7 linked regions of the Ovis aries genome follow. The protein of the gene in region 1 interacts with the protein of each later gene in a pairwise test. Links are inferred from orthologs where the notes say so. Each region holds a gene or a part of one and is shown in the gene's direction. Other genes may lie near its edges. The genes, in order: NAB2, NEDD9, RFC5, PHF1, MORF4L1, ZMYND19 and CWF19L2.

Region 1 (4,484 bases):
CAGAAGGGTGGGCGGGGCCGAGGTTTTGGACTAGGGGGAACCTTGCTTCTGGCCAGCCGGCTCGCTTCCCGCCGCCTCCCCCCACCCTCCTGCATTTCCTCGGGGCCTAGTGCCGCAGGGCCGGGCGCTCAGAGCCCCCGCCTGTCCGCCCTCCCAGCCGTGGGCGGGAGTGTAATGGGAACCAGATGGAGCTGGGAGAAACAAAGGGGGTAGGGAGTGGGTTTCGGAGAGGGGTAGGCTCCTCGAAGGAGCTCCTCCCTCCCACTCCTCGGTAGGGAGCCACGTTGGACACACTCGGCCTGCTGCCCATCTAACTCTGGACTCTTGCGGGCCAAGTGCCCTAACAGACGTCCCTAGAAAGGGTATCCTCTCTCTCCCAGGGCTGCCACAACAGTTTCCCAGGAACAGGTCCCCATCCTCAGCAAATAGGGTGCGACGAGTAGAGGAAGGCGGGGTACCCCTCCCATGCCTGCCTGACCTGTGCGCCAGCAAAACCCGTCGCGACTGTAATCGACGCGCGTCTAAGTGGTAGCTTCTAACAAGCCCCGCCCATTCCTGTTTCCCAAACTTGGACGTGGACTCCAGGCCAGGATGGAAGGGCGCCTGGGTTTCCGAGAACTGCCTCTTCAAACAGCTCCTTTAGGGGCTGGGAAAGTGCGTTTGGAGATGGAAGAGACTCCTGCGGAGCCCACGCTCACAGACCTGCCTTAAGCGCACTCTCTATGGGAGTCAGACGCACGAAAGGAGACGCGCACCCCGAGTCTCCAACAACTTTTCCCGGCTCACTCCTAACGTTTACAAGTACAGCACCGCGAGGTTCAAGTGTGGGCAGCAGGCGTCCGCATAGCTGTTTAGACGCGTGTGCCCGTCCTTTGCGCTGCTCGGTGTCTTTGTGTACCTGTGCGTGGTTGTGAAACTCCGCTCTCCTCTCGGAGGGGAAGGGGGAGTGGGAGTAAGAATGTCGCCGGCTGGGCGCTCACGTGGGTACGTGGGCGCGGAGAAGGCCGGCTGTGCATCCGGCGTGGGCGGCACGGAGCGACCTCGCCCCGCCCGCTGGATCCCCAAGCCCGCCTTCCACAGCCCGGCCTCGGTCACCTCAGTCTCCAACTCGGCGCCCCGGGCTGAGTCCCCGCCCCCGCCTCCATCTCCACACTCCTCCCCTCCCCCCAACATCTCCGCCTCTCTCTGTCTCTCCGCCGCGGCGTCTCCCCGGCCCGGCGGAGAGACCCGGGCGCCCGCCCCCCGCCCCCGGCCTCCGCCCCCGGCTCGGCCCACGCCCTCCGCCCGCCCGGCAGCCAGCGCTGCGCCGGGCCTCGCTCCCCGTGCGTCCTGCGGGGGCGGAGGCGCGGAGAGGCGGCAAGCGCAGCCGGGGAGGGGGGGGCAGAGGCACAGACAGAGGCGCGGAGGCTCGGAGAGAGGAGACGTGGAGGGAGGGACGGAGCCCGGACAGCGGCGGACACGGCCTCGCGCGCGGGGAAGAGCGCAGCGCGCAGCAGGCGCTGAACGCCGGGCACTGAGAAGGGCACCCCGGGTAGTCTCCAGCCGTCCATGCACAGAGCTGCCTCCCCCACAGCCGAGCAGCCGCCGGGCGGAGGGGACAGCGCCCGCCGGACTCCGCAGCCCAGACTCAAGTTAGTGGGCAAAGGGAAGCGGCGGGGAGTGGAGATGGGTGGAGCTGGACTCGGGAGAGGGGTCCGGAGGGCGGAGGTCGAGGAGAGGACGAGGGGAAGCGGGACGGGGGTGGGGGGTGGAGACTGACGGAGAGGGGGTGCGTCTTCGAATTAGGGGGCCCTGAGAGCAGACAGAGATCTGATGCAACTGGAAAGACTAGAGAAAGAATAGTATCTAATTCTGCATTGCCCGTTTATTTGGGGGGCATGACCTGGCATGTGAGCCCCCTGCAAAGAATACGGGGGCTCCCAGGCGGCAGGGGAAGCCCTGGGGCTCTAGCTGACAATAGTGCCGGCGGAGGGCCGCTCAGCTGGCTCAGCGCGTCATTGGTACCGAGCGCGCGGCTCCGGGATCCGGGATAAGCCGGCGCCTTTGAACCAAGAGAGCATCAGAGGAGCTTTGCAGACGCGGGGCAAGCCTTAGGCGTCTGTTCATTTCTGTAGCTTTATTTACAGAGTGGGGAGGGGAGTTTCGATGTGCAACCCCTCCCTCAAGAGGCCTTGAATCGCTCCCCCACACTTGAAGATGTGGGTGGAAAAATGAAGGAGAGAAGGGTAGGCGGGAGGCCCCCCCCGGCGGTTTTCGCCCACAGACGCTACCACTGTGGGAGTGTGTGGGGGCGCACCGGGCCCCAGAGCAGAACAATTGAGGCACCCCTCCCCTCCCCCGTGCCTGAGCTGAAGGGATGGCCCTACCTATGGAGCAGGTGGGAAGGTCACTGCTGGGAGAGGGACCAACTGAGGGGCCCTGGGCAGTCTGGAAGGTAGGGGAGGTCCTGGGGAGAGAGCAAGAAGGTGCAAAGAATGCCTAAGCCGTGCGAAAAGCTGAGCAGGGGTGGGAAAAGGGAGCAGAGGATGGATGGTCTGCCTGGCTCACAGTGAGAAAGGGCAGGGGAAGAGGCCACACCTTTCCTGCTCAGCCACATGAGCAGGATGCCACCAGGGAATAAAGCTGGCCAGCAGTGGTCCTAGTTTCCCCTGTAGGGAGGACAAGGGTCCTATGTTCACCTCAGCGTGGACATTAACTTTGTATTGTTAAGACTGTTAGGAGTGTAGGGTGGAAGGTGAGGATGGTGCTCTGGAAGAGACATTGGTCCAGCTAATCCAGGGGTGTACTGACTGGCCTCATACTCATGGTCTCCTTGCCCCAGACCACAAAAGTAAAAGCTGAGGATGGGGGAGCTTGGAGCCTTTGACTCCCACAAAGACCAATCTGGCTTCTGGTACTTCTAGCCAGTCTGGGATAGCACTGCTGCTGAACAGTGGCTGGTTCGCCTAGTCTGTGCTCAAGTCTCAGCAGAGAGAGCATTCAAAAGAGGGGAAGAGAAGCAGGCAGGAAAGAGAAGACAATTGTGAGGATGGGTTGGTACCCAGCAGGGAACTTGCACTGACTGTCCCCCCCAACCTTGTGCGCCTCCTTCCCAGGCCCAGTTCCCGAGCCATGGCCCTGCCTCGGACCCTGGGGGAGCTGCAGCTGTACCGGGTCCTTCAGCGTGCCAACCTTCTTTCCTACTACGAGACCTTCATCCAGCAGGGAGGGGACGACGTGCAGCAGCTGTGCGAGGCGGGGGAGGAGGAGTTCCTGGAGATCATGGCGCTCGTGGGCATGGCCACTAAGCCCCTCCACGTCCGACGCCTGCAGAAGGCACTGAGAGAGTGGGCCACCAACCCAGGGCTTTTCAGCCAGCCTGTGCCTGCAGTGCCTGTCTCCAGCATCCCACTCTTCAAGATCTCTGAGACGGCAGGGACCCGGAAAGGGAGCATGAGCAATGGGCATGGCAGCCCGGGGGAAAAGGCGGGCAGTGCCCGCAGTTTTAGCCCCAAGAGCCCCCTTGAACTTGGAGAGAAGCTGTCACCATTGCCTGGGGGCCCTGGGGCGGGGGACCCCCGGATCTGGCCAGGCCGGAGCACTCCAGAGTCTGATGTTGGGGCAGGAGGAGAAGAGGAGGCTGGCTCACCCCCGTTTTCCCCACCAGCAGGGGGAGGCGGCCCTGAGGTGACTGGGGCTGGGGGCCTGGCAGCAGCTGGGACTGGGAGTGGTCCAGATCGACTGGAGCCAGAGATGGTGCGCATGGTGGTGGAGAGCGTGGAGAGGATCTTCCGAAGCTTCCCGAGGGGGGATGCTGGGGAGGTGACATCCCTGCTGAAGCTGAACAAGAAGCTGGCACGGAGTGTGGGCCACATCTTTGAGATGGACGATAACGACAGCCAGAAGGAAGAGGAGATCCGCAAGTACAGCATCATCTACGGCCGCTTTGACTCCAAGCGGCGGGAGGGCAAGCAGCTCAGCCTGCACGAGGTGAGGGCCCCAGCCTACCAGGATTGCCTGGGACATCTAGAGCTTGACCTGCTTACCTCTGAGAATCCTCACATTTGCCGAGTCTGTTTCATTGCCCCATGACCAGGACCCAAAGTCCTGATCCCCTCCTCCACCAACCCCAGCTGCTGCTGTGCTTCCCTGCTCAACTGAGGGGGATGCAGAGACACAGGCAAGAGGCCAGCTGTCCAGTTCCATGCCACCCAGGACCCCACAGGATTGGAGGAGGTCCCTGGCATTCATAGGAAGCTCTGGGTGCTGCCCTCTGTCTTCCTCCCCCAGGAAACTCCTGGTAGTGTCAGTAACCCAACCAAGCATCTGATGGATGGTCTCATTTGTCTGATGGAGAAGGGGCGGGAGGAGGTCTGGGCAAGGGTGAGTCAGGATTCTGACTGCTCTGGTGGTCCTCTTTACAGCTGACCATCAACGAGGCTGCTGCCCAGTTCTGCATGAGGGACAACACCCTCTTACTGCGGAGGGTGGAACTCTTCTCCCTG
Region 2 (4,351 bases), on another chromosome or scaffold:
CTTCAGCCATATATAAATAATAAGAAAAAAATTGAAGTGAGACAGGTAGGGGGCTTTGTACATGGTTAATGGATGCTCTATGTCTTTCCCTCCGTGTTTTGTTTGATCCTGCTTCCCAGGTGGCGCTAGTGGTAAAGAACCCAACTGCCAATGCAGGAGACCTAAGAGGCCTGAATTCGATCCTTGGGTTCGATCCAGGGAAGAGCCCCTGGAGGAGGGCATGGCAGCCCACTCCAATATTCTTGCCTAGAGAATCCCATGGACAAAGGAGCCTGGTGGGCTACAATCCATAGGGTTGCAAAGAGTCAGACATGACTGAAGCAACTTAGCACGCAGCACCAACAGCAAAGGTTGGCAGAGAGTGTGTTGAGAGTGGATTAGTCACTTTGCTACATGTTGGCATGGTGTTGACTGTGAGCTGTTCTGTGACTGAGGCTGTAAGAGATAAGCATTTAAGAATGGTGAGGTGCTATTCTAAGAAAATATCTGTAAGGTCCTGAGTAATGTGCCTCATTGTTGGGACAGCAAGTATTTGTTTACAGTAATTCTCAAGGGTTAGTGGAGATTATCTTGCTGAGCCCCAAGGAAGTTCTAGGAAATTCGACTTAAAATCAAGTCTGGTGCTGCATCACGGTTTTTTCAAATCAAAATTTACAATAAATATAGATATTTTCCATCCCTTCATATAATGCAATTCAGCAGTAAAGGTGCTGGCAGCAAAGAAATATCGGAAGTGTGGCCCTGGGAATTTTCCCAAAGGCTATTTTTAAAAAATAGGACATTTTGATGAACAACAATGATAATTAAAATGAAAAATCTGTCAGTGCACTACGGGGAACAAAATCTCAACCAGCTATAAAGTTATTCTAGCTAACATTTGTATCATTATTTATGCCATCTAAACATAAAGCAAGGATTTGCAGGAGTTCTACAAAAATTCCAAAAGCATTATACCCGCTATTCATGGAGAATGGCAAATTTGCTTTGGTTCATTTGCCTTTTATCCCTCACTGTTCTAAAAGAGAACAGATATTACATTGTTGAGCTCTATAGCAGTTGTGATCAACAGAAAAAAGAACAAACATCTTTAATTGTTCACAAAGCAACAGATAATTCCCACAACAGACACTGCTTCTGACAACCGCATATTTAAGGCAGAGGAAAAATAGACTGTGTACATACCATGGGGTTATTCCCTAAAAGTCTAGTCAGCATGACTTGCATTCGGGGGAAAGTCCACTAGACATAATCTAAGCCAGACCGCATCAGTGCATGTTTGTCCCCTGCTCTTCCATTAGCACGGAGTGAAATTTCACAGCTAAAATGTCTGCATCAGCTTCTGAAGGAAGAGAGTCCGTATTCCTCACTGTGACCTTGATTCCCTGATGAACCTCAGCAATACTGGTGATTGCTCTTCCCCCGCTATGCCCATCTTATTATCAGTGATAATGGAAGAGGTGAGTCTCTCACTTTCCTATTTCTTTCCGGTGACACTCTCGCCATCTCCAGCACCTATTTTTGCTGTGTTTTCAAAAAGATGGATGTGTCAGTTGCCGTTGTCTCAAAGCATTTTCTCAGAACTGCCTGGCCAGAAAATCCTCTGCACGCCAGAAGGAGAAAAGAGACCTTTTGAGATATTTGTCAGCTTCATTAACCCAGACATGTGCTTTATAAAAATGGAACTTCCGATAAAGATTTTAGGCACTCTTCGACCTTATTCTCTGCATAATTTAAGGATAAAAAAATCTTATTCTTTGCCTTCTTCTTCTGCATCAGCGTTCCGAGGATTGCTATAGGTTTCCTTCCTTTGTGTTTGTTCCAGTTCAGAATTTTACCATTTCCTTTTTCTGTTTGTATTTCTGATTTCATGATCACTCCATTATTTTATTCATCTTCAGTGTCCCCATGTGGGTTGTTCGTATGACTGGTGACATCAATGACTGCTGGCATAGCATAATCTCAAAGAACTCTCTCATAAGTACTCGTTTTACAAGCCATCAGTTACTTAAGGCATTTGGCAATAATGTTTGCTTAGCAGATCAAGTGGTTTATCTTCTAAGTCGTGTATCTTACATTTCTTTGCCGAATTCTGGCTTCTGTCTAGATCTTGCAGGAACCTGAAGAAAGTCACATGGGGCTGCATCAACTTCCTTGTTCAGTTGGGGACAGTCTGATGATGTCGCCCACCAGCTAACCTGTTCTTCCCTTCCCTCCCCGCAGTGTGTGTGCCTGTTGGGGGAGGGAAAAGGAAACCAGACTAGGTAGCCAGTTGGAAACGACCGGTGTTTTTATTTTCTTTCTTTTTTTTTTTAAATGACTGTGTCAGATTTAGTACCAGGGTCTAGCTGACCTCATAGAACACATTGCAAAGCGTTTCCTCATCTTCTGTTTTGGAAAACATTTATGTAAGTTTGATACCTTTTCTTACCTTAATGTTTAAAAGAGTTCACCAGTGATACCATCTGACCCTGATGTATTTAAGGAAAGAGTTCAATCACAAATTCAGTTTACTTAATAAATGCATTTTCAGCAATATTTCCTATTTCTTGTTGTGTCTGTTTTGGTAAGTTGCATTGTTTAGGAATTTCATCTAGCTGTTGAATTTATTAACATCAAATTGTTAATAATATATGTAGCATCTGTAGTATATTCACACATTTATTCCTGGTGTTAGTGGTTTTTCTTATTTTTTTCTTGATTAGCCTATGTAGGGCTTAAGTATCAGTTGTTCAATCTTGTCTCTTTGTGACCGCATGAACTGTAGCCTCCAGGCGCCCCTTTCCATGGGATTTCCCAGGCAAGAATACTGGAGCTGGTTGCCCTTTTCTTCTCCAGGGGATCTTCCTGACCCAGGAATCAAACCTGGCTTTCCTGAACTGCAGGCAGATTCTTTACCATCCGAACCATCAGGGAAACCCATGTGGGGGGTTTCAAATTTGTTATTCTTTCAAAAGGAAAAAAATGTTTTGTGTTAATTTTCTCTGTCATTTATGTTTTCTGTTTCATTGGTTCCTTTTCTTTACTATTTCCTTCATTCTATATACTTTGGATTTATTTACCTTTCTCCACTTACAATGAGGTTATGTCCCAATAAACCCATTGTGAGTTGAATATATCATAGAACTCCTCTGTAGTAATTCCTCACAGGAATTAAAAAACATTTACTTAGTTATATTCAAAACAATATATATTTTCTTTTGAGTTTTTTAATTAAGAAAAAGAAGAGCAACTCCTGATATGACTCAGAAGCAACCGCGAAATCAGATTTCAATTCATGTAACCTATCCCTTGGTCAAAATAGTAAGTGATACCAAAGAAATATCTGTGTGTCAACACATTTGATTATGCACTGCTTTTCTTTTGAAAATAGAAAATCTCAGGTGTCAGCATATCAAACAGGAACTACAAAAATGTTCTCCATTAGGTTTTGGACAGGTAACATTCATTTGCTTTTAAACATGTTATAAAAGCTGAAGGTTTTACTATATAAATCTTGTGGTGGCAATTTGTACCACCCACCAGTTTTAGAGGCTCCATGAATGATTAAAAAGAGTTTCACGTCTTTGTGAGGCGTCTTAGGAACCTAATGATTTATTTGTGTTCCAACTGCTGCCTTTTCTCCCTTTTGTGTCTTGACAATTCTTATCATACATTCCTTACTGGTGATTTAGTAGACACAGTGAGCAGATCTTAACTTTAAAATTATACAGCTCCCTTATTTAAAGCTGCAGGCTATCTGTTCCAATGTCATTTTGCTTCTTTAGCAAACTTTCACTGATACCTTGTTATATACCAGATACTGTTCGGAACTGGGGGCCCCAAGAAGCATTGTCCCTTTTTTTTTTTTTCATGCGTTTATAGTCTAGTGGGCATCAGAGAAATAATTGTAGTAAGTTTTCTAATAGAGAAATGTTCGAGCTGCAAGGGGAGGCAACCCAGGCAGTCTTCAAAGGAAGAGATGACATTTCAGTGTGATATTAGGAGTATGCAAAATGTTATAGCTCAGTAAATTGAACCCTTATGATTTTTGCATTTAAATGTATGTAAATTTTATCTGAAAAAACTAGCAAGTTATTCAGCTCTAGTTAATAGGAGTGCTTTTTGCAGGGATATGGGTTGGCAATTCTGAAAAGTCCATCTGTGTATTATAGGCTTTATTTATATATATGAAATAAATATGAAATATGTGTTTATTGTTAAGCATATTGATTGTGATAAATATACTCTTGTTTATAAGAAAATTTTCTCATAAAGATAATCCATTAAAGTAGTTAGGATAAAAGGTATAATAACTCCAACCAGTTCTCAAATAATTCCTAAAATATGAATATACATATATGGATAGAGAAAT
Region 3 (4,505 bases), on another chromosome or scaffold:
TTGGCCACCTCATGCGAAGAGTTGACTCACTGGAAAAGACTCTGATGCTGAGAGGGATTGGGGGCAGGAGGAGAAGGGGATGACAGAGGATGAGATGGCTGGATGGCATCACCGACTCGATGGACGTGAGTTTGGGTGAACTCTGGGAGTTGTTGATGGACAGGGAGGCTTGGCATGCTGCAATCCATGGGGCTGCAAAGAGTTGGACACGACTGAGCGACTGAACTGAACTGAACTGAATACTTGCCAAAGAACCAAGAACACAATACTCATTGGATAGTTTCTACAAAAAATAATGTTGGAAAAACTGGATATCCATATGATAAAGAATAAGGTCATTATACTAAATGAAGTAAGTCAGACAGATGGACATTGTCATATCACAGCCCCATCTGACCCCCTTCTGACTCCCCAGGAAGGGACCAGGGTGAAGCCATAACTGTCATTTTATATTTGCCCTCTGTCCCTCTATTCTACTCCTAAAATGGGTGACAGTGTGGTAGTAGGAGGCAAGGAGCAGCTACTTCTAAATCAGAACACTTGTAATCCTGGGTCAGCCTCATCTCCTCTCAGGATTGTTGTCTTTCTCAGCATGGCAAAAAAAAAAAAACCAACAACCAACAAACAAAAAGCAGGGACTTCTCTGGTGATCCAGTAGGTAAGAATCCGAGCCTTCAAAGCAGGGGCCTGGCTTCCATTCCTGGTCAGGGAACTAAATTCCACATGCCACAGTGAAGAGACCGTGTGCTGTAACAATGATCCAACAGGCGGCAATGAAAATCTCGCGTGATACTGCGCGCCCCAACTAAAACCCAGCGCAGCCAAAACAACAGCCAAACTTTATTACGGATATAATACACACTTATTGCTGGGAACTACAGACCAGCAAAATAGAAAACATAAGTGGTTCATAATCCCCTTACCTCAGAAAAAAAATACTAACATTTTGATACCAATTCTCCTCAGCAGCTTCACGTCAGAGGGACCCTGTCCTCTTCGCTTACTAACTAGCCCTTTCCAGTTACACATATTAACCTGGAGGGAAGTTACTTATTATTTACTTTTTCCTCTCTGGAGTTGTTTCTGGAGGTCGTTCTGTAAATTTTGTTGGGTGAGGGGCATAGATTTGAGAGACAGACTGAAGTTGGAGTTGTGCTTGGAGTTGTTTTTCAGTTTGAAGTGCTCACCTCCTAGCTTTGGGGGCAAAAAGTATTTCAAGCCTTGTTTTTTATGGTATCTGTATTCAAGAACTGGTCATGTCATTTCGGGTTGTTTTACCTCAGAATTTTTTAGCGCTGGCCGCTTTCTGTTCCCTTGAAGGGTAACAGCTATAACTCTGGTGACGACTGGAATTGGCTTTGGCCGTGAGACTTTAATTTGTAATGATGATTGGTGGCTGTACGGGGTGGCCGTGCCTCTCAGGCGCGCGCTCCCTCTGGGTTCAGGACTCTGGTCTACACCAGAGAGGGGAGATCCAGCTAGAAAAGGGCGGAGCTGGGGCGAGGCGTCCGCCCGGGCCTGCCGGCAACCAGGCAACAGGGCCTTAGCAACGGGGAGGGGGCGGGACCTAGGGAGGAAGTCCGATGGCCGCTAAATCTCGCGAGAGTTGCGTTTGCGCGCTAACTCTAAGTGCGAGGGTCCCGGGGTCTGGTTGTGGCTGTTGGCGAGGTTCGGGCCTCTGGGAAACGCGACAAGCCCACCGGCCACCATCATCACCATCATCATTATGGAGACCTCAGCGCACAAGCAGCAGCAGCCTGAGGCGGCCAAGATCAGAAACCTGCCCTGGTAGGAGGGGGCCTGGCTGCTGCGGGGAAGGGGATCGGCCGCGCGCGGAGGCGGTGGCCCGAGTGAACAAGTGGCCAGTCTCCAGCCCGACCTCGCCCCGCAGTCCCCGGACTTGAGGCCGGGGTGGAGCCACAGAAGTTCACCTGCCCTCAACTCCCCAGTCCTGCTCCATTCTATTTATAACTGGCTAGGTCTCCCTTCACCCGTAACCCAGGGCCCCCTTTCCTGTTGCGGAAGAGGAAAACGGCTTCCCCACTTGGGTGACAACATGGGTTCGATCCCATGTCTTCTGACATTGCCTTGGCCTCTGTGGCAGAATATTCTCTTGACAAAATAGTCTCTTCTCTCGGTGCGATTACTGGTCACATTCTAAGCTAGAATAATGATAATGATGATGACAGCACTTCCTAGTTAACTTATATTTCAGTGACTTTGTTACACGCACCCTATTAGATGTTGGAATTTTGCAAAGACCCTGGGAAGAAGATACTGTTATTCCAGCTTTACCAAAAGGTTAAATGACTTGCTTAAGGTCTAGAGTTGGAAAATAGGTTTGGATTTGAACCCAGGTGGTCCACATTCAGAGCTTGCATTCTTAGCCAGTCTGCTTCCACAACTGTGTCTTACTGTTGTTTTAAAGACTGATAGGATTTGGCTTGATTTTGAAAAACTTATTTCTTTTCAAAAGTTTTCAAGATAATGAGTTCGGTTTGTTGTTACTATAGTAAAAATATATAACATACAATTTACAGTTGTAGCGATTTTGTAGTGCATTCAGAATGTTGTGTGATCATCCACTATCTAGTTGCAAAGTTTTTCATATACCTCAAATGGAAACAATATACCTATTGGCAGTCACTCCCCATTCCCCTCTCCCTCAGCTCCTGGCAACCACTCATCTACTTACTGTCTCTATGAATTTGCCTATTCTGGATATTTCATGTAACTTGAATCATACAATATGTAGCCTTTCATGACTGGCTTCTTAGATCAGCAGTTCATGTCCTTTTATTGCCAGTAACATTCCACTGTATGGCTATACCACCATTTATTGATCCATTCATCTGTTAATTTATATTTGGATACAGGTTCAATTTTGGATTAACGTTAGGTGCCCATCCAGGTTGAGATTATAGGCAGATAGCTGGAAAGGTGAAATGAGAGCAGTTTTTCAGGGGGGCGTGGCCACAGGGGTTAGCCTGTGCATTTCATAATGTTTAATAACTTCCCTGATGACTATCCACTAGATGCCAGTAGCACCTTCCACCCAGTTTTGACAGGGGAAAAGTCTGTAGATATTATCAAGAGTTCACTGGAGGACAGAATTGCCCCAATTGAGAACCACTGGGTTAGAGGTTTTTGTATCTCTCTTCTTTTAGTTAGGATATGTATGAAAGGACTCTTCTGCACCTAACAAAATATTCTGGCCTTTATATATGTTGTAATGCATGCTACATTGTATTTTAGGGTTGAAAAATACCGGCCACAGACACTGGATGATCTCATTTCTCATCAGGACATCTTGAGTACTAGTAAGTATCCCTGTGTCAGTGGCTGGTATCCTAGTTGAAGAACCTGGATACATTGCTTAGGGATGTGGTCTCTGCTGTGATAACCTTAAAGAATCTGACTAAGCTTTTGGGATGTGGCTCTGACAGCTGCATCCTTCAGATGTTTCATTCCTGCCCGTGCCCTGGATTTGAACACAGATGTGAAGTAGACTCAGCCCAACTCTGGCCCGCGGTGAATGAGGCGACTGAGACTGATAGCATCTGTCTTTCTCCCCCCATCTTCAGTTCAGAAGTTTATCAGTGAGGACCGCCTGCCGCACCTCCTTCTGTATGGTCCTCCAGGGACAGGAAAGACATCCACCATCCTGGCCTGTGCTAAACAGCTGTACAAAGATAAGGAATTTGGCTCCATGGTCTTGGAGGTAAATGAGAGGATTACCCTTAACTTTCAACGGACTCTGGTTTCTTATTTTTAGTTCTGCTAGTTTTGTTTTCCAACTTAGTTGCCCTGCTGGTGGTTGGGAAAGAAGCAGATATACAATATTTCAATTCACTTTTCCTATAATTGACATTTTTGCCTGGAGATTTTGGGTGTAGCTAGAGGGCAGTGGTAGGGCCAGGTGTTTTTGTTTGCTTTTGCCAGCTTTTACTCAAACACTCAGGGGTCACTTGGTTGCTAGCTGTATCCCATGTGCCCTTCTCCATGTTGCTCCACACTGTTCTTGTCCCAGAAGACTGGGCGGTGTTGCCGACAAGCTCCCTTGCCCTCTGGCTCCTATTGGGTTTGGCCAGGAGTTGGGGGAAAAATGATGCCTGGTCCAGCCCTGGGTCACCACAGACGGACAGTGTCCCCACCCACAGGGCACAGCACCCAGCATTCCCCAGGAGCCAGCATCACTCCCCCAACAACCCCTTAAGACTTGAGAGTGGTAATGGGCCCCAGTAGCCCATAAGGTATTGCATAGCTCTTGTGGTTTCTCCCACACCTCACGAGCACCTTTGAAAATATCTCTTCATTTAATTCTCTTCAAATTACCGAATTTGAGTGTGCTGTTTACTGCTGGGACACGACTGATCCACTTAGATTATGAAATTCTAAATATTGTCTATTGTTAAGAAAAAAAATGGTTTAACTTACTTTTTTTGTTATAGATCTTAGAATCTTTCTGCTACCAAGATTCTTAATTGTTCTTACTTCAGTTTATT
Region 4 (4,483 bases), on another chromosome or scaffold:
TATTCTTTCTGATGCTCAAATTGCCTGCCTTTGGCCAGTGGAAGCTCCAACTTGGCTCCTGTGCCCTTTAGACAAGTTCTCAGTAGTCCTTTCTCCAGATTCATCTTGTACATTTCCTGCCCTAGACTGAAGATCATTAATTTTCTAAGGAGCTTTGGTTCCTACGTTTATGATGATGTGTTATCTAGCTTATTGAGCACTAGTGGTGGGAGGGCTTTGAGGGTGTCTAGAAGTGCCTTTCTCTGCTCCTGTGAGGGGCTTCTGTCCTTTCTCTGGCCTTTCCTCCTCTTCCAGATCTAGTGTGGACAGTGGGCGCGGGAGAACTGAGACCAGCCTGAACCTGCTTTCAGAGCCCTTATTTCAGGACTCTGAGGGCAGCCCTAACACTGAGGGTTCAGAGGTGATTTGGGGAAAACTTTTGGTTGCTCTGAAAATTTTTTTATCCTGTTTTGTCTAAATCCCCTGTCTGCAGGTGAACCAGTGTGTTATTGGCACAGCCCAGGCCAACAAGAAATGAAGATGGATCTAGATTGTGTGTGTGTATGTGTGAGACACACGGGGGGGGGGGGAGGGGGGTAGTGGGCGCTGATACCTGGGCCTATCAAATAAAGAAGAGAATTTTTTGTTGTTTTTAAATAAAGGTTTTATTAGCGGTTGTCCAATAAGGGGGGAGCTGTGGCTCTTCCATTCTGCCAAACGTCTGTGTCTCACGGGGACAGGGCTCCGGCTTTTCTAACGGGTCACTCCAGAGTCAGGGTGGCCCCCGCCCTGCTCCCGTCCCTATCCACGTCCGGGGGGTTGCGCGCACCAGGTGTCCAGTCACTAGTTCCGCTTCCTCCGGCACAGGCCACCCTCGCCCGGGGCAGGAACTCTTGAGTGCGGAAAGGTGGGAGTCCGGGGCGGGGCCGGCGCGTCCGCCCACAAGCTGCGGGCTCTCTCCTCCCGCTCTTTTCCTTCCCTTTCGAACCGCCGGGGCTAGCTCCGCCCGCCGCCATTGGCTGGCTCTCGGCGGCGTCACCGCCTCGGTCCGAGCTCTTCTAGTCGGTGCACCCGCCTCGGCCGCGCGGGGCGGGGCGCATAGGCTAACTCCCTCGCGCCAAGCGCCGAGGGCCGCCGCCCCGTCAGAGGGCTGGGTCTTCCCAGGTGCCGCGCGCGCGGGAGGGGTCGCGCGTGCGCAGAGGCGCGGCGACAGTGGGCGGGGTGGGGGCATCTAACTCCGGGGGGGCGGGGCCGGGGCAAAGGCGGGAGGAGGCGGAGCCCGCGGAGGCCGGGGCAAAGGCGGGAGGAGGCGGAGCCCGCGGGGCCGGGGCGGGGCGGGGGCCATGGGACGGGTGAATGGAGGGCGGGGTCGTGAACTGGAGCGCGGGGCGGGGCCCGGAGTGACCCTGCGGGGCCGGGGGCAGTTAACGGATGTGGCGCGGGGCGGCGGCCCGGCCGGCGGCCTAGCGGGGGATTCCCTCCTGCCCCGAGGGCAGGCCTCTCTCCGGAGGAAGGGGCTGCGGGGATTCCCTCTCCCGCCGGGTCCGCGAGCCCGCCCGCCCCATCCACGGAGACGCTCCCACTCGCTCCGCGCCCTCCAGGCCCGCTGGCGGTGAGGGAGGTGGGGTGAGGAGGTGCCCGCCCCCCCGGCTCCTCCTTCCCCCCGCCCTCCCCTCCCTCCACCCTCCCCCCGAGCAGGTTTGTCCCTCCCCTCCCCTCCCCTCCTTCCCCCCGCCGCCTCCTCCTGCCGCTGCCGCTGCTTTGGCTGCTGCGTCATACGCCCCAGAGCCGCCGGGACGGAGGGGCTGGGCCTGGGGACCCCCCGGTCTCTGCCTGCACGCCCCCCCGACGCCCAGCCGTGCCCTCCCCGCGCGGGGGTTTCACCTCAGTCTCCCACGTCTGCCTCTGCCCGGCTCCCGGCGGCCCCAGCTGTCACTGGTAAGGAGGCGGCGGGAGGCGCCCGTGGGGGGGCAGGGAGCCGGGGGTCGGCGCGCAGGGCGCGGGCGGGAGAGCCGCGCCGCCCGGGCGGCGGGTCGGGCTGGGCCGACTCAAGCCCCCTCTCCCACTCGCCGTCCTGGGGAGAAGAGACCCGGACTGGGACACGCCCCCCTCCCGGGGCACTCAGGGAAGTTCTCTAACCCGGGGGCAGGGAGCCCCGAATTTGAGGGTGACCTGACATAACCTAGCACCAAGATGATTGTTCTGAATGAGACACGGGGGCCCCGGAGGCAACCTTTTCCACTCGAAAACATCTCCAGAAAAAGCTCCCAAAACACGTCTCTGGGAAACAGCACCCCAATTGTAATACCTCTATAAACAGCGGTAGAAGGTGACAGTAGAAACTGAGTGGCAACCTTTGCCTCTGCAACCATCCTTTTTGCTAAAATCTCAAGGCCGGGATACAACGTCCCAGGGGAGCTCTGGCAGCTGGGAAACTAGAGAACTAGGTTGGTGGGGTGGGGGGACGGTGGGGAGAAGAGAACCACTGGTGACTGTTGGGAGAGCTGGAGTCAGGAAGGCCCAAGGGGTGCCCAGGGGTTTCCTACCCAGGTGTCTCAGGGAAATGGAGGCTGGGCACACCTGCTCAAGCCTTTGACAGAAAAACAGGCAAAGAAAATGGGGGCTAGTTCCTCAATATTGGTAACTTTCTCCTACCATCTCACTTCTAACTAGGCCCCCCCAGGATGCAATGGCACAGCCCCCCCGGCTGAGCCGCTCTGGTGCCCCCCCACTTTGGGACCCAGCTTCTCCTGCTCCCACCTCAGGCCCCCGGCCTCGACTTTGGGAGGGTCAAGATGTGCTGGCCAGATGGACAGATGGGCTGCTATACTTGGGGACCATCAAAAAGGTATGACCTCTGACCTGTCACCTTTTCTCATTCCCCTTATCTAGTCTGATTCCTGTTCCATCTTCTGTGCTCACCCATTCCAGGTGGACAGTGCTCGGGAGGTGTGTTTGGTTCAGTTTGAGGATGATTCCCAGTTTCTGGTTCTATGGAAAGACATTAGCCCTGGTGAGAAGCCTGAGAATGGATCCAAGGGAAAACAAACCTGGCATGGGGGACAGAAAGGGGCTGGAGGACAGGCCCTCTGACACTCTGTTCTCTCACAGCGGCCCTCCCTGGGGAGGAACTCCTCTGCTGTGTATGTCGCTCTGAGACTGTGGTCCCTGGGAACCGGCTGGTCAGCTGTGAGAAGTGTCGCCATGGTGGGTGAGAGGGCAGGACACCTGAATGGTCTAGCTTGCCCTAGGTCTACCAGGGTGCTTCTGATCCTTCTCTCCAGCTCTGGTCCTTATACTGTCTGTCCTGGTCTGAGTCCCCAAGCCACTGCTCTGAGCAGTCTCCACAAGCCTGTAACCTCACTCCCTGCCAGCACAGGGAGGGGCAGCCTTGGGATGGGATGCATGAGCTCTGCGGGCAGAGGGTGTGAGTGAGCAAAAGTCTCTCAGTTGTGTCTGACTCTTTGCTACCCCATGAAAAGTACAGTCCATGGAATTCTCCAGGCCAGGATACTAGAGTGGGTAGTCTTTCCCTTTTCGAGGGAATCTTCCCCACCCAGGGATCAAACCCAGGTTCCCCACATTGCAGGCAGAATTTTTACTAGCTGAGCCACAAGGGAAGCCCAAGCACAAGAATACTGGAGTGTGTAGCCTATACCTTTTCCAGGGGATCTTCCTGACCCAGAAGTTGAACCAGGGTCTCCTGCATTGCAGGTGTTCTTTACCAACTGAGCTATCAAGGAAGTCCCAGATGCAGGCAGAGGGTAGTTCCAGTACGGCTTTTTCTAACCATTTGACCTTGGGCAAGTCCCTAAACTTCTAAGAATCACAGCTGCCTCACCTGCTTTTAAAATAAAGATAATACACCCACCTTACCAGGACCATGGTCAAGAACAAAATGAGATGGGGTTAAGACTCTTGTCCCAATACCTAGCGCGCACAGGTACGCAATGCAATAAGTGGTCTACTGTCAATATTCTCATTATTCAGCTTATCACCAGGACTGCCACGTTCCAAGGGCTCCAGCCCCTGGAGAGGGAGAGGGCGCATCCTGGGTCTGCCGCCAGTGCGTCTTTGCCATCGCCACCAAGGTAAGGGCCCCTCCCTGTGGGACCTCCAACTCTCAGCCTCTCCTGGACCCTTCCTTCCTCCACCCCTGAGGCCACCTGTCTGTTCCACCTGCAGAGGGGGGGTGCACTGAAGAAGGGCCCCTACGCCCGGGCCATGCTGGGCATGAAGCTCTCCCTGCCATATGGACTGAAGGGGTTGGACTGGGACGCTGGACATCTGAGCAACCGCCAGCAGAGCTACTGTTACTGTGGTGGCCCTGGGGAGTGAGTAGTGAGGGGCGGGGGGCTAGGGAACAAGTGATGGGGGTGGGAACAAAGGAGAATGGCAGGGTGGTAGGAGTGCTGAAGGGGGCGGGAGAGTGGTGAGCAGGGTTTGGGGCGGTTAAGGAGGGTGTGTCTGGGGGGTCACTGGTCCCGTTTCACTTCAGGTGGAA
Region 5 (3,855 bases), on another chromosome or scaffold:
CTTAGAATTTATTGAAAGTGGAAACTGGAACATTGTTGTGATTTGAAAAATGCCAATGAGAACCTCATTGGCGTTGGGTTATTGAAACTATATATTGATTACATATTGACTCCTTAATTTTCCTTAGAAATTTTTTTTTTGCCACTTAACTCATTTTTAAGTGTACAGTTGGGTGGCATTAAGTACATACACAACCCCTCCTTTGTTTAATCTTTACTTTTTTGGCCATACTGGGTGGCAAAACTCCTGCCTTGTGCAGTTGAAGTGCAGAGTCTTAACAAGTGAACCACCGGGGAATTCCCTTACACCCTTACAGTCATTCAAGTTAGAACAGACGTGTGCCTATAATGTGTTTTTCTTTTACAAGCATTAGCATTGGATTCTCAAGACACAAGTTTTGAGATTTGAGGGTTAGATTTGCTTTTTCAGTATCTTTTTCCTTGAGATTAGATTCTATTGCTTTTAGACCTTAACTAGTGTGACTTTACTACCTAAAGATTAAAGACAGTATTGAAGATAACTATGCATTTTGAAATGTTTGCAGTTTTATTTTGGGGGGGTAAGAAGATAATTAGGCAAGGATTAATGGATTTGGTAAGATAATTGATTTGGTTAAGATAATTGATTGATTTGGCAAGGATTACTATTTGAGATTAATTCATAGCTTTATTTGTTAATAAGTAGTAACATATTTCCATGATGTTGATCTTTGGAAAACTTAGAGTAAACACAGGTAGTTAACATTTATAAATATTAAAACTGTAGAAAAGCAAACACATTCAGGTGTAATGTGATGGTCCCTCTAGGCATAATCTATAATCATGGCTTTATAAACTTTTTTCTTTGTGTTCCAGAAATAATTAGATATTATGTCAGGATTAGTAATTCACTGTCGGTGCATACATAAATAGCCATGAGATAAATTACTGTTAGACATAATAGTCTAGACACAGGCTTTGTTCTGTGGATGAGCAGAGTGTTTAGTGTTGTAAAGAAAGGAATGTAGTTTCGAGAAGAAATAAAGTGAAACAGTTTGACCAGTGAGAGCATTGGTGTGAAACATAAGTCTAACGTCAAATTATGCTGGTTCTAAAGTAATTGGGGAAAATATTTTAATCTTTGGAGTTTTTTTGTGTTTGTTGAACTAATAGTCTTATGAAGCAGGTTCTTTTTAATATAATTTACATGCTATAAACTTACTAATAGACATAAATAATAAAACCCTGGGAGAAGATCTTATGATATGGTTTTGATTTTTCTGCTGTCTAGAGGGAGATGTGGATTGAGCCAGCTATCAGTAAAAAAAAGTCCTTGAGTCTTGAGTAATAAATAAGAATATGCAAGAAATAAGATCAGGCAAAGATAGCTGCCTGATCTTACCATTAAGGCAGTATTTCTCTATGGACTCAATCTGGTAGAAGGGAATTTAAACCAGAGACAATAGTGATAATTAGCTTTTTCCTTTTTTCCCTTCAGGAAGACAAAAAAGAACAAACAGAAGAGTAAGTATATTAACTGTCTGAATTAATTAATCTGCCTTTGTAACATTTGCATTTTGAATTCATTGTTAAATTTTAAGTCACGAAGTTTTAGAGTAAGCATATGTTGATGGTCTCATGAGTCACAGCAGTGTTACAGAGTTAGGTACATAGCCGTAGAGAACTGACATTCTACTGTGGAAAAACATAAGCATTTATTCTATTTGTGTTTTTTAATGACTGACCCTGAGATAAAAAATAGATGGTAATATTAAATATTGCTTTGTACTAGATGAGCTGTTCATAAGAGGTATATTTTTGGTAGGAATCTGATTCTTCAATGTAGATTTAAGTAACGTCTGTGTAATGGAAGGGTCAAGGAGTAAAGAGTTACTCATTAAGCCAACAATTTCCCTTCCATACCCCCAAAATTTTACAGCACCTGGAAATGGAGATGGTGGCAGCACTAGTGAGACACCTCAGCCTCCTCGCAAGAAAAGGGCTCGAGTAGACCCTACTGTTGAAAATGTGAGTCTTTCCTTACATTTATGTTAATAATTGCATGTTAGAATTTTTAGTCTGTCCTGTTACAATACGGATAAAATAGTCATGGAACTTTGACTCAGAAGCATTGCTTTCAGTTCAGTCGCTCAGTCGTGTCCGACTCTTTGCAACCCCATAAATCGCAGCACGCCAGGCCTCCGTGTCCATCACCAACTCCTGGAGTTCACTCAGACTCACGTCCATCGAGTCCGTGATGCCATCCAGCCATCTCATCCTCTGTTGTCCCCTTCTCCTCCTGCCCCCAATCCCTCCCAGCATCAGAGTCTTTTCCAATGAGTCAGCTCTTCGCATGAGGTGGCCAAAGTACTGGAGTTTCAGCTTTAGCATCATTCCTTCCAAAGAAATCCCAGGGCTGATCTCCTTCAGAGTGGACTGGTTGGATCTCCTTGCAATCCAAGGGACTCTCAAGAGTCTTCTCCAACACTACAGTTCAAAAGCATCAATTCTTCGGCGCACAGCCTTCTTCACAGTCCAACTCTCACATCCATACATGACCACAGGAAAAACCATAGCCTTGACTAGATGGACCTTAGTCGGCAAAGTAATCTCTGCTTTTGAATATACTATCTAGGTTGGTCATAACTTTCCTTCCAAGGAGTAAGTGTCTTTTAATTTCATGGCTGCAATCACCATCTGCAGTGATTTTGGAGCCCCCCAAAATAAAGTCTGACACTGTTTCCACTGTTTCCCCATCTATTTCCCATGAAGTGATGGGACCAGATGCCATGATCTTCATTTTCTCAATGTTGAGCTTTAAGCCAACTTTTTCACTGTCCTCTTTCACTTTCATCAAGAGGCTTTTTAGTTCCTCTTCACTTTCTGCCATAAGGGTGGTGTCATCTGCATATCTGAGGTTATTGATATTTCTCCCGGCAATCTTGATTCCAGCTTGTGCTTCTTCGAGTCCATTGTTTTTCATGATGTACTCTGCACAGAAGTTAAATAAGCAGGGTTACAATATACGGCCTTGACATACTCCTTTTCCTATTTGGAACCAGTCTGTTGTTCAATGTCCAGTTCTAACTGTTGCTTCCTGACCTGCATACAGATTTCTTTTAATTACTGAAGTGAAAATATTATTTTTTAGATAAAGGATATATTTGTATACATCTTTATTTCATGTGTTGCACTAGGTGTATTCTTTCCAGGTTTTATCCCTAACTCATCATATGTTTGTTTTAAGCCCTGTGTTCTTGTATAAGACTAAATAGTTCTTTGGTATTAAGATTGAATTGACTTAACTAGGTCACATTAAATTGATTTACTGATTTAATAAACCCACAGAAAAATGCTGAGAAAGCATATCAGTTACACGTGTATGTGTGTGGGTATAATAGTTTAGGATTTTTACATAAGTGAATTAAATGTCTAATTTACTATATTTATAACTCAAGTTATGAATTTGAAAAGAAGTTTTAAAAGTATAACTGACCGTTTACATTTCTGAAGCTGAGGTTAAAACACCGGCATGTTCTAAAAATTAGACATTTTTAGGCAGTTACTGACAAATTAGAAGATACATTTAATCTTATAAAGATGTAACTTTAAGAGGGTCGTGTTTGGGCTTCATTGAAGATGTGGCTATTCGAAATGAATAAGTTTTGAAAATACCGAGTTAAAATACATCAAGTTGGAGAGGTCATTTATAGAAGAAGGGAAATTTTGCTTTAAAAAAAAACCCTTCACATGAAAAAGCATCAAGTAGACTATCAAGATTCTTTTCTCCCAGGAGTTAGCTGTATGATCTTAATTCATTTTACTGTTTCCAAGTGACAGTTCCAGCTGTCCGTTTGAGTAAAGAATTTATTCCAAG
Region 6 (4,435 bases), about 160 Mb from region 1:
CCATGGTGAGCTCGTCCAGTTGTACAGCTTTAAGTAGGAGAAATACGCTGGTGAACATCAGTCTATACTCAGGTATCCGATTGCCTTATAACCTTAGCCTGTGGCATGAGGAATAAATATATTTTTATCTTGCTAAGCCGCTGACAATTTAGGGTTGTTTGTTACTGCAGCATAACCAGGGCTATCCTGACTGCCGTCAAAGGTGGCCCCAATACCATCATTTCTTAGTCGGGTAAGCTTGCATTAGCTCCCTAAACGTCCTGCCTGCTCCCACCCTTCCCTCACTGTCTGCATCAGCTGCCATGATGCACTAAAAAGCTATTCCTCCTTTCCTATCCTCCAATGGCTCCCTTTTCTGAGTGTAAAAGTCACAGTGCTCCCCAGACCCCACACCCTTCCCAACCTCCACCTCTCTGGCCATGTGCCCTGTTGCTCTGATGCGTTCATTGGCTCACAGAGACCGCCTCCGCTTTTCAAAAACGCCCAGCTGGGGCCAGATTAGGGCCTTGGCACTGGGCTCTCCCCGCTGCTGGGGATGCTGTTCCCCTGGAGCCCGCAGAGCTCACCCGCTCTCTCCCCCCCAGTTTGCTCAGGTTACTTGGCAGTGAGATCTACCCCGCCTCCACTTTCCCGGGGCCTCCAACTCCCTGATGCTGGTCTACTCGTTTCCCCACAGCGTTGATCACTTTCTAACAAGGCGAGTAACTCGCTGGTCATGGGCCTTTTCTGCCTCCCTCGCTAGAACAGGAGCAGGGGTTTGCTTGGTGCACCGGTGTAGAGCGGTTTCATTGGGGGTTGGGAGCGAGAGCCATTTGGAGTGGTTGCCAGGAGACAGGTATACCCCCAACCCCCGACCCCGAATCGTCAGGTCTGGGAGTTCCTGTTCGGGAAGGATTTGGAGCAGGCTTTTCAGCGCCCCTTCTCGAAGCCCAGGGAAGGATCGTGTCGCACAGGCATGGGCTATGGGATCCTGATCCCGGCCCATGCGCGGAGGCGGCCAGGGAGAAGGGCGGGCGCAGTTCCCGGTCAGCCAACAGCGCTCGCTGGGCTCCCACGTTCCGAGGGCACTGGACCCAGCCACGGAGTCATACGGGCCCCGGGACTCCGGATCCGCGAATCCACCCCGGCCTCCAGCCCTCTGTCCAGGGACTAGTCACAGGGAGCCGCAGCCAGCCCCGACCTGCAGGGCCCGGACGGCCCAGGGTGCCCAGCCAAACCGCCCGTTGCGCGGGCCGAGGCCGGGCTCGGGGGTCTGCGCTGCGAGCGGGTGGCGCACCCTCCCGCACAAAGCTTCCCGCGAAACTGACGTAGCGCCGGGCGGCCGCGCAGGCTCCGCCCCCGGCCGCGCCCCTCCCCGGCGCGCTCGCCGCGCCCCAACGCGCCTGCGCACTCGCCCTCCCGCCACTGGCTGCGGCGTGGCGGCGCGCGCCGGCCGGCGCCCTGCGCGCCGCGCGATTGGCCAGGCGGCGGCGGGCGGGGGTGTGTCCGCCGCGCGCCCCGCCCCTGGCTCCGCTCGCGGAGGTGCGCGCGGCGGTGGTGGCGGCGGCGGCGGCGGCGGCGCGTGGCAGGTCCGGCGGGCGCCCGGCGGCGGCGGCCCGACCCCGGCCCAGCCTCGTCCCGCCCGCCCGCCCGCCTGGCCCCGTTCCCGGCCCCCACTCGCCCGCCCGGCGCGCCGCGGCCCCGCCCCGGCACCTCCCGAGGGAGCGGCGCCGCCGGCCGAGCGCAGGCCCGGCCATGACCGACTTCAAATTGGGCATCGTGCGGCTCGGCCGGGTGGCCGGAAAGGTGCGCGGCGCGGCCTGGGGCCGGCGTCGGGCGGGAGGCGTGGGGCGCCGGGCCGGGGCCGAGGGCCGGGGCTGGGGTGAGGCTAGGGGCTGAGCGGCGCTGGGGGGCGCGGGCGCGGGCTGGGAGTCGGAGTCGGCGTCGGGGGTGCGAGGCTGGGGGCGCAGGGCCCGGCCAGCGCGGCGGGACGCACGGGCACAGGCCCTAGGTTCGCCGGCGGCCTGGTTCCTGGGGCAGCTTTGGTCCAGTGCCGGCTCCGGCCGTGCGCCGTGGGTCGAGGGCTGCGGCTGTGCCTGCGGCCGCGGGGAGCGCAGGCCCTTCCGGGGCAGCGCGCTCGGTCTCCGGCGGCCCCTGCGGGTCCGTAGTGAGCTTCGCGCAGGGCTCGGGCTGCTCGCGGCGGCCCCGTCGGGCTGAGCCTCAGTTGGCCTCGGCCGAGCGGGGCCTCCCTCTGCTTCTCTCCCTTACCGGGCCCCGCCCTCCGCGTGTTCGAGGCTGGGGCTTCCTGGCACCTGTGGGCATTGAGGCTTGGCTGTTTCCAGGAGCCGGCCGGCCGTGCAGCTGAACCAGCCACGGACCTTACCCTGGATGGGAACCCTGTTCCCATCACCAGCGGCGGAAGCTTCTGGTGGGAGAGAGGAGCAGAGGCAGTCAGATGAAGGTAAAGCCGGTTCAGATAACTAGTAAAAAGCTCTCCAAGCGAAAGTGAGACTGGTCCATTTCGGGGACCGTTTCCTGCCCTCCCGCAAAGGGCAGTCACTTTCTAACTACGGAAGGGTGGGCTCCTTATTAGCCTTGCGATCTCTGCAACTCAGCGGTTGTCTGCAGTAATGCCATCCTTTAAAACTTTTACTTGGAACGTGTTAGACGAAGAGATAGGAGGGACAGTTCCATGAGCACCTGTGTGCCGCCTGCCTGATGGTTGGAACCTTCCAGATATTCTGCTTCAATCCCGGGGCCCTGCCTCTATTCTTGTGACACCGTGGTCTCGGACTGGGCTTATGGACACATTGACACGCACAGCTTAGTGGATGAGCAGTTAGTTCTCAGGCACTTCTCATGGCTAGTCGTGAGCAGACGGCAGGTGGGGCCTGGCGCCACAGCTGTGCGCTGTGCTAAGTGGGGAGAGAGCGGCCTTTGGCACATCTGCCTGCCTTCAGGGTGGATTGGCCGCTCTGAGCCCGTGAGGGCTGCTCCTGCCTACTGTTAGTGCCCTGTGCTGATTCCAAATGTGACGTCTTCAAACGTTAATTTCCAGACCAAGTATACGCTGATAGATGAGCAGGACATCCCGCTGGTGGAGGGCTACTCGTTCGAGGTAAGGATTCTGCTCCTTTGCTGGCCTGCCTACGGTCGTGCCAAGGGGGGTCATGAGGGGTAGGTCTTCACCCCTGTGACGTGAGGCAGGCCCTTGCATGTGAGCTGCTCAAGCAGGCGGGTGAAGCCCTGTCCAGAACCCTGGTCTCCAGGGAACCTGTCTGTCAGTGTGGACCCCCCCCCCCCACCGCCTCCGTGATGCTTGCTGTCTTTCTCACTTCCACGTTGCTTGCAGGCTCTTCCCAAAAAAGAGACAAATGGTGCCATGTCTGTGATTGAGTTCAGTCGGATAAACTGCTGTGCCCAGGGAGACTGTCCAGGACTGCCCCACCTCCTCTCCAGCCTCGGCCTCCTGCAGGGCCCGGTGCCTTTGTTCTTACCTGGCTGTTTGGGCTCCAGTCCTCACCTGCCTGCTCCTCCCTCCACCCTGTAGACCCAGCCCACTCCTGTCTCACCCTTCACCCTTTTATGCTTGCTTGTTCCAGGGCTTACCTTTTTTTTACTGGATTAGGGACTTTTTTTTTTAAGGGTAGGGAGATTTATTTCCCTGTGTCCACGTCCACAGTATTTTGCAAAGAGTGGTTCTTAAGTGTGTCTTGCCTTCATGTAGGCGGGTACTTCTCCGTGCCACGTGTCTGGAAGCCTCCAGAGACCACCAAGGTCCCAGGAACAGGCCTGGCCTTTGTCCCTCTGGCTTGTTTCCTTCGTTTTTCTAAGAGGAATTTGGAATGTTGTGGAGAATTGCAGGCTTTTTAACAGAGCTTTTTCTTGTTTCTTCTCAGGCCCGGATGGAAGTAGACGCAGATGGAAATGGTGCTAAGATATTTGCATATGCCTTTGACAAAAACCGAGGGAGGGGGTCGGGACGGCTCCTTCATGAGCTGCTGTGGTAGGTGTTTCCAAGCTGCTGCTTCCCTTTCTGGGTTAGCACCAGCCTTGCGGTGCGAGGGGCTTGGGCAGCCAGAGGCCCTTCTGCCTCGTCGACAGATGATACCTTGCCCAGGCCTCCCAGTCACGTCTTTGTCATTGCCCCTGCCTGGAAGGATGGCTGCTCTGCGTCCCCTGGCGCTGGCAGGGTGGCCTGAGAGTCTGTAGGCCATGTGCCCTTCCTGCTCCCAGCACTCGGGCCACAGCGCCTCTGGAGGCGGGTGGAGTCTGGCCCCTTCTAGGTCCCTTTGAGCTTGGCGGTGGGGCACGGGGAAGAGCCGTCCTCCCTTCTGTGTGAACGCTGAGGTTCCGGAGTGCTTGGGCCCACTCAGCGGTGTCCCCCAGGCTGTGTGCGAGGTGGCTTGGGGCTCCACCTTGGCTCCCTGGAGCCTAGCGCTCAAGTCCAGGGGCT
Region 7 (3,855 bases), on another chromosome or scaffold:
TCCAGGGAATCTTCCAGGCTCAGGAATCGAACTCAGGTCTCCTGCATTGCTGGCAGATTCTTTATTGTCTGAACCATCAGGGAAGCCCATAGAAGTATAAAACAGTCAAATTGCATAGAATTGCACATAGTAAATACTCAGTACACCAAAATTGCATAGAATTGCACATAGCAAATACTCAATACATTTTATTTGTGATGATGATGATAATAAATTGACCCCTGTGATTCAAGCTTAAATTTTAATCAGTTTTTTCTTTTTTAAAATTTCATGTAATAGTTTTATCACAGAACTTATAGATGCAACTTCAGTATGCCATAGTATTATCAGACACAACTGAGTGACTAACACTTTGATTTTACTTTTTTCATGACACTGTACAATAAACTGAATAAACCACTGCCTTTTCTTCACTACCTTTATTTTCATTTTTTAGTTTATGGGAAAAACAGACGGAGATTATTATACTCTGGATGACATGTTTGTCTCCAAAGCAGCTGAGAGAGAACGTTTTGGTGAAGAGGAAGAGAATCAGAGGAAAAAAGCTATTGCTGAGCACCGGAGTCTTATTGCACAAATGGAAAAATGTCTGTATTGTTTTGACAGCTCTCAGTTTCCCAAGCACCTTATTGTTGCAATAGGTGTTAAGGTAAGAAACACAGTGATTATTGTCCTAAGGAAATGCTTCTTTCTCCATATGCTTCTAAGGTTCTCAGTAATCCGTCTCTTACTCTGTGTTTTATATATTTTCTTTTCTAAGTTCCCATGATTCTTAGAATTTTCTTTAGATTGAGTATAAATATTCAAATGATATGAAACTTATATTTCATGTAATTCCATTCTACAGATAGGCAGCATTGAGTTGTGCTTCAGGCCCTAGACTTTGGATCCAGACCACGTGGATTCAGACCCTTGCTCTGCCATTTCCCATCTGTGTGATCTTACTTTCATGATTGGCACTTAAGTCTCAGTATTAAAATCACTTCGGAGCTACTTACTTTAAAGTAGCTTCTGCTTCTTCCCTTACATTCTTATGAAATCTTTTTATTTCTTTATAGACTATCTCATAATTTGAAGAAGTTTATTGTACAGTTTCTGCTTGGTAACCCACTGGGGATTGGTTTTACAGTCCTTGTATATGAAAATCCACAGATGGTCAAGTCCCAGTCAGCCCTTCATATTTGTATTTTGTTTTACTTGTTGAGTGTCTCTCTCAGTAGTCTGTTAGTTCCATGAGTATAGGTAACTTTTACTTATCATTGTATACTTGCATATATCTCATTATATACCAAACATGTATGTTTACAGTCACTTCTTTTGATATTCTTGTTGTTCAGTCACCAGTTGTGTCTGACTGTTTGTGACCCCATTGACTGCAGCACACCAGGCTTCCCTGTCCTTCACTGTCTCCTGGAGCTTGCTCAGGCTCATGTCCATTTAGTCGGTGATGTCATCCAACCGTCTCGTCCCTGTCGTCCCCTTCTCAATAAATACTAAATATCACTTATTTAATAGCCGGTAATAATAGTCATTTATTTCAGCATTTGGCAATTTAATCCTTATGTTAAGTAAATAGTTATCATGTACCAGATGTATGCCAGAACCTAATTAGTCACTGGGGAAAAGTAGAGAATCGGATATACTTGTGTAGCTAGTTTTCTAGTGAAACAGAGCAGAGTAATGATTGCCCTGATTTAAGGAACTGTTGTTATGAAACAGATATAGAGAGGATATGTGGGAAATGATGGGAGGTTATTTTTTGAGAAGCTGATCTAAAAGGCTTCTCTGAGGAGATATTTTAAAGGTATGAAAGTAAAGCTATGAAAGATGAGAAGAAGCAAGCAACATGAAGATCTGAATGAGTAATGTTTCAGAAAAAGGTGTCAGTCAATGAGTGAAGACAAGAGGAAGGCATTTATGGAACAGAAAAAAAAAAAAAAAAACAAACCCAGAATAGCTAGAGTGGAGTGAGTGAGAAAAAGTGGTAGGAAAGGAAGTTGAATGAATGAATGCTAGTTTCAGAAACCAATATTGTGGAGAGTATACATATACATATTATTTGTTACACACACATACACAGTACCTTTGTAGCCAAAGAACTGGTATTGACTTTTTCATTCCAGTTCTAGTCTTTAATACCTTTAGGTCATTAAGACCATCAGTTTATCAGTTTGAATTTTGGTTTCTTTAACTTTTAATTTTTCGTTACCCTTCTTTTCCATTTCTTTGTTTTCCTCTAGACTTTATCAAAAGTGTGTGTGTGTGTGTTAGTTGCTTAGTCGTGTTTGAATCTTTGTGACCCCATGGACTGTAGTCTGCCAGGCTTCCCTGTCCATGGAATTCTCTAGGCAAGAATACTGGAGTGGGTTGCCATTCCCTTCTCCTAAGACTTTATCAAAAAGTAAAAGTAAAAAAGTCCATTCAAAATTTAATCAGTCAGAAACCCTTAACCAATCTTACCAGTTATTTGTGTTAATTTTCCCATGTTCTTTTCTAGACCATTAAATAAACATTTATATTTTCATAATTAGGACATTTTATATAAATATTTCATTCCCCTCAGTCTGGCCCCTACCTTTACGAAATGTAAGGATAAATTCACTTTAGTTCAGTAGCTCAATTGTGTCCGACTCTTTGCGACCCCATGGACTGCAACACGTCAGACCTCCCTGTCTATCACCAACTCCTAGAGTTTACTCAGGCTCATGTCCATTGAGTCAGTGATGCCATCCAACCATCTCATCCTCTACTGTCCCCTTCTCTCTCCTTCAGTCTTTCCCAGCATCAGGGTCTTTTCAAATGAGTCAGTTCTTCGCATCAGGTGGCCAAAGTTTTTGAGTTTCAGCTTCAACATCAGTCTTTCCAGTGAATATTCAGGACTGATTGCCTTTAGGATGGACTGGTTGGATCTCCTTGCAGTCCAAAGGACTCTCAGGAGTATTCTCCAGCACCACAGTTCAAAAGCATCAATTCTTCGGCACTCAGCTTTCTTTATAGTCCAGCTGTCACATCCATACATGAGTACTGGAAAAACCATAGCCTTGACCAGATGGACCTTTGTTGGCAAAGTAGTATCTCTCTACTTTTTAATATGTTGTCTAAGTTGGTCATAACTTTTCTTGTAAGGAGTAAGCATCTTTTAATTTCATGGCTGCAGTCACCATCTGCAGTGATTTTGGAGCCCCCAAAAATACAGTCTGTCACCATTTCCACTGTTTCCCCGTCTATTTGCCATGAAGTGATGGGATCAGATGCCGTGATCTTAGTTTTCTGAATGTTGAGCCAAAGCCTTTGACTGTGTGGATCACCACTCACTGTGGGCAGTTCTTAAAGAGATGGGAATACAGACCACCTGACCTGCCTCTTGAGAAATCGGTATGCAGGTCAGGAAGCAACAGGTAGAACTAGACATGGAACAGACTGGTTCCAGATAGGGAAAGGAGTACGTCCAGGCTGTATATTGTCACCCTACTTATTTAACTTAGCAGAGTATATCATGAGAAACGCTGGGCTGGATGAAGCAGAGACTGGAATCAAGATTGCTGGGAGATTGTCAGATATGCAGTTGACACCACCCTTATGGCAGAAAGTGAAGAACTAAAGAGCCTCTTGATGAAAGTAAAAGGAGAGTGAAAAAGTTGGCTTAAAGCTCAACATTCAGAAAACTAAGATTATGGCATCTGGTCCCATCACTTCATGGCAAATAGATGGGAAACAGTGGAAAAGAATAAATCAAAGTAACAAAGTTTTCAATAATTCTATATAAAAAGTTTGGGTATTTTTCAGTGACTTCATTTTCCCAAATGCACTGAAGACATGCTAGGTCCACACAGGCACAGAGGTGTGAAGTATACA

The links.
Region 2: the proteins of NAB2 (region 1) and NEDD9 interact in binary tests that used the Homo sapiens proteins (3 or more experiments, as listed by UniProt). The two-hybrid records come from large-scale screens. The link is inferred for Ovis aries from reciprocal best matches to the Homo sapiens genes NAB2 and NEDD9.
Region 3: the proteins of NAB2 (region 1) and RFC5 interact in binary tests that used the Homo sapiens proteins (3 or more experiments, as listed by UniProt). The link is inferred for Ovis aries from reciprocal best matches to the Homo sapiens genes NAB2 and RFC5.
Region 4: the proteins of NAB2 (region 1) and PHF1 interact in binary tests that used the Homo sapiens proteins (3 or more experiments, as listed by UniProt). The two-hybrid records come from large-scale screens. The link is inferred for Ovis aries from reciprocal best matches to the Homo sapiens genes NAB2 and PHF1.
Region 5: the proteins of NAB2 (region 1) and MORF4L1 interact in binary tests that used the Homo sapiens proteins (3 or more experiments, as listed by UniProt). The two-hybrid records come from large-scale screens. The link is inferred for Ovis aries from reciprocal best matches to the Homo sapiens genes NAB2 and MORF4L1.
Region 6: the proteins of NAB2 (region 1) and ZMYND19 interact in binary tests that used the Homo sapiens proteins (3 or more experiments, as listed by UniProt). The two-hybrid records come from large-scale screens. The link is inferred for Ovis aries from reciprocal best matches to the Homo sapiens genes NAB2 and ZMYND19.
Region 7: the proteins of NAB2 (region 1) and CWF19L2 interact in binary tests that used the Homo sapiens proteins (3 or more experiments, as listed by UniProt). The two-hybrid records come from large-scale screens. The link is inferred for Ovis aries from reciprocal best matches to the Homo sapiens genes NAB2 and CWF19L2.

Annotation. Positions count from the first base shown.
Region 1 is NC_056056.1:162,521,551-162,526,034, reverse strand, and holds the start of NAB2 (NGFI-A-binding protein 2), read left to right. Parts: upstream 1-1,390; 5' UTR 1,391-1,548; coding exon 1,549-1,631; intron 1,632-3,095; coding exon 3,096-3,969; intron 3,970-4,403; coding exon 4,404-4,484. UniProt on the Homo sapiens protein: Acts as a transcriptional repressor for zinc finger transcription factors EGR1 and EGR2. Isoform 2 lacks repression ability.
Region 2 is NC_056073.1:44,062,708-44,067,058, forward strand, and holds the start of NEDD9 (enhancer of filamentation 1), read left to right. Parts: upstream 1-1,245; 5' UTR 1,246-1,457; intron 1,458-4,351. UniProt on the Homo sapiens protein: Scaffolding protein which plays a central coordinating role for tyrosine-kinase-based signaling related to cell adhesion. As a focal adhesion protein, plays a role in embryonic fibroblast migration.
Region 3 is NC_056070.1:57,206,449-57,210,953, reverse strand, and holds the start of RFC5 (replication factor C subunit 5), read left to right. Parts: upstream 1-1,621; 5' UTR 1,622-1,726; coding exon 1,727-1,788; intron 1,789-3,255; coding exon 3,256-3,320; intron 3,321-3,584; coding exon 3,585-3,721; intron 3,722-4,505. UniProt on the Homo sapiens protein: Subunit of the replication factor C (RFC) complex which acts during elongation of primed DNA templates by DNA polymerases delta and epsilon, and is necessary for ATP-dependent loading of proliferating cell nuclear antigen (PCNA) onto primed DNA.
Region 4 is NC_056073.1:7,741,328-7,745,810, forward strand, and holds the start of PHF1 (PHD finger protein 1), read left to right. Parts: upstream 1-1,401; 5' UTR 1,402-1,917; intron 1,918-2,652; 5' UTR 2,653-2,668; coding exon 2,669-2,827; intron 2,828-2,910; coding exon 2,911-2,992; intron 2,993-3,090; coding exon 3,091-3,186; intron 3,187-3,969; coding exon 3,970-4,070; intron 4,071-4,164; coding exon 4,165-4,313; intron 4,314-4,477; coding exon 4,478-4,483. UniProt on the Homo sapiens protein: Polycomb group (PcG) that specifically binds histone H3 trimethylated at 'Lys-36' (H3K36me3) and recruits the PRC2 complex. Involved in DNA damage response and is recruited at double-strand breaks (DSBs).
Region 5 is NC_056071.1:22,952,250-22,956,104, forward strand, and holds part of MORF4L1 (mortality factor 4-like protein 1), read left to right. Parts: intron 1-1,476; coding exon 1,477-1,502; intron 1,503-1,917; coding exon 1,918-2,006; intron 2,007-3,855. UniProt on the Homo sapiens protein: Component of the NuA4 histone acetyltransferase (HAT) complex which is involved in transcriptional activation of select genes principally by acetylation of nucleosomal histones H4 and H2A.
Region 6 is NC_056056.1:397,884-402,318, forward strand, and holds the start of ZMYND19 (zinc finger MYND domain-containing protein 19), read left to right. Parts: upstream 1-1,592; 5' UTR 1,593-1,734; coding exon 1,735-1,785; intron 1,786-2,321; exon of another isoform or gene 2,322-2,434; coding exon of another isoform or gene 2,435-2,440; intron 2,441-3,037; coding exon 3,038-3,097; intron 3,098-3,878; coding exon 3,879-3,985; intron 3,986-4,435. UniProt on the Homo sapiens protein: May be involved as a regulatory molecule in GPR24/MCH-R1 signaling.
Region 7 is NC_056068.1:15,806,110-15,809,964, forward strand, and holds part of CWF19L2 (CWF19-like protein 2), read left to right. Parts: intron 1-436; coding exon 437-649; intron 650-3,855.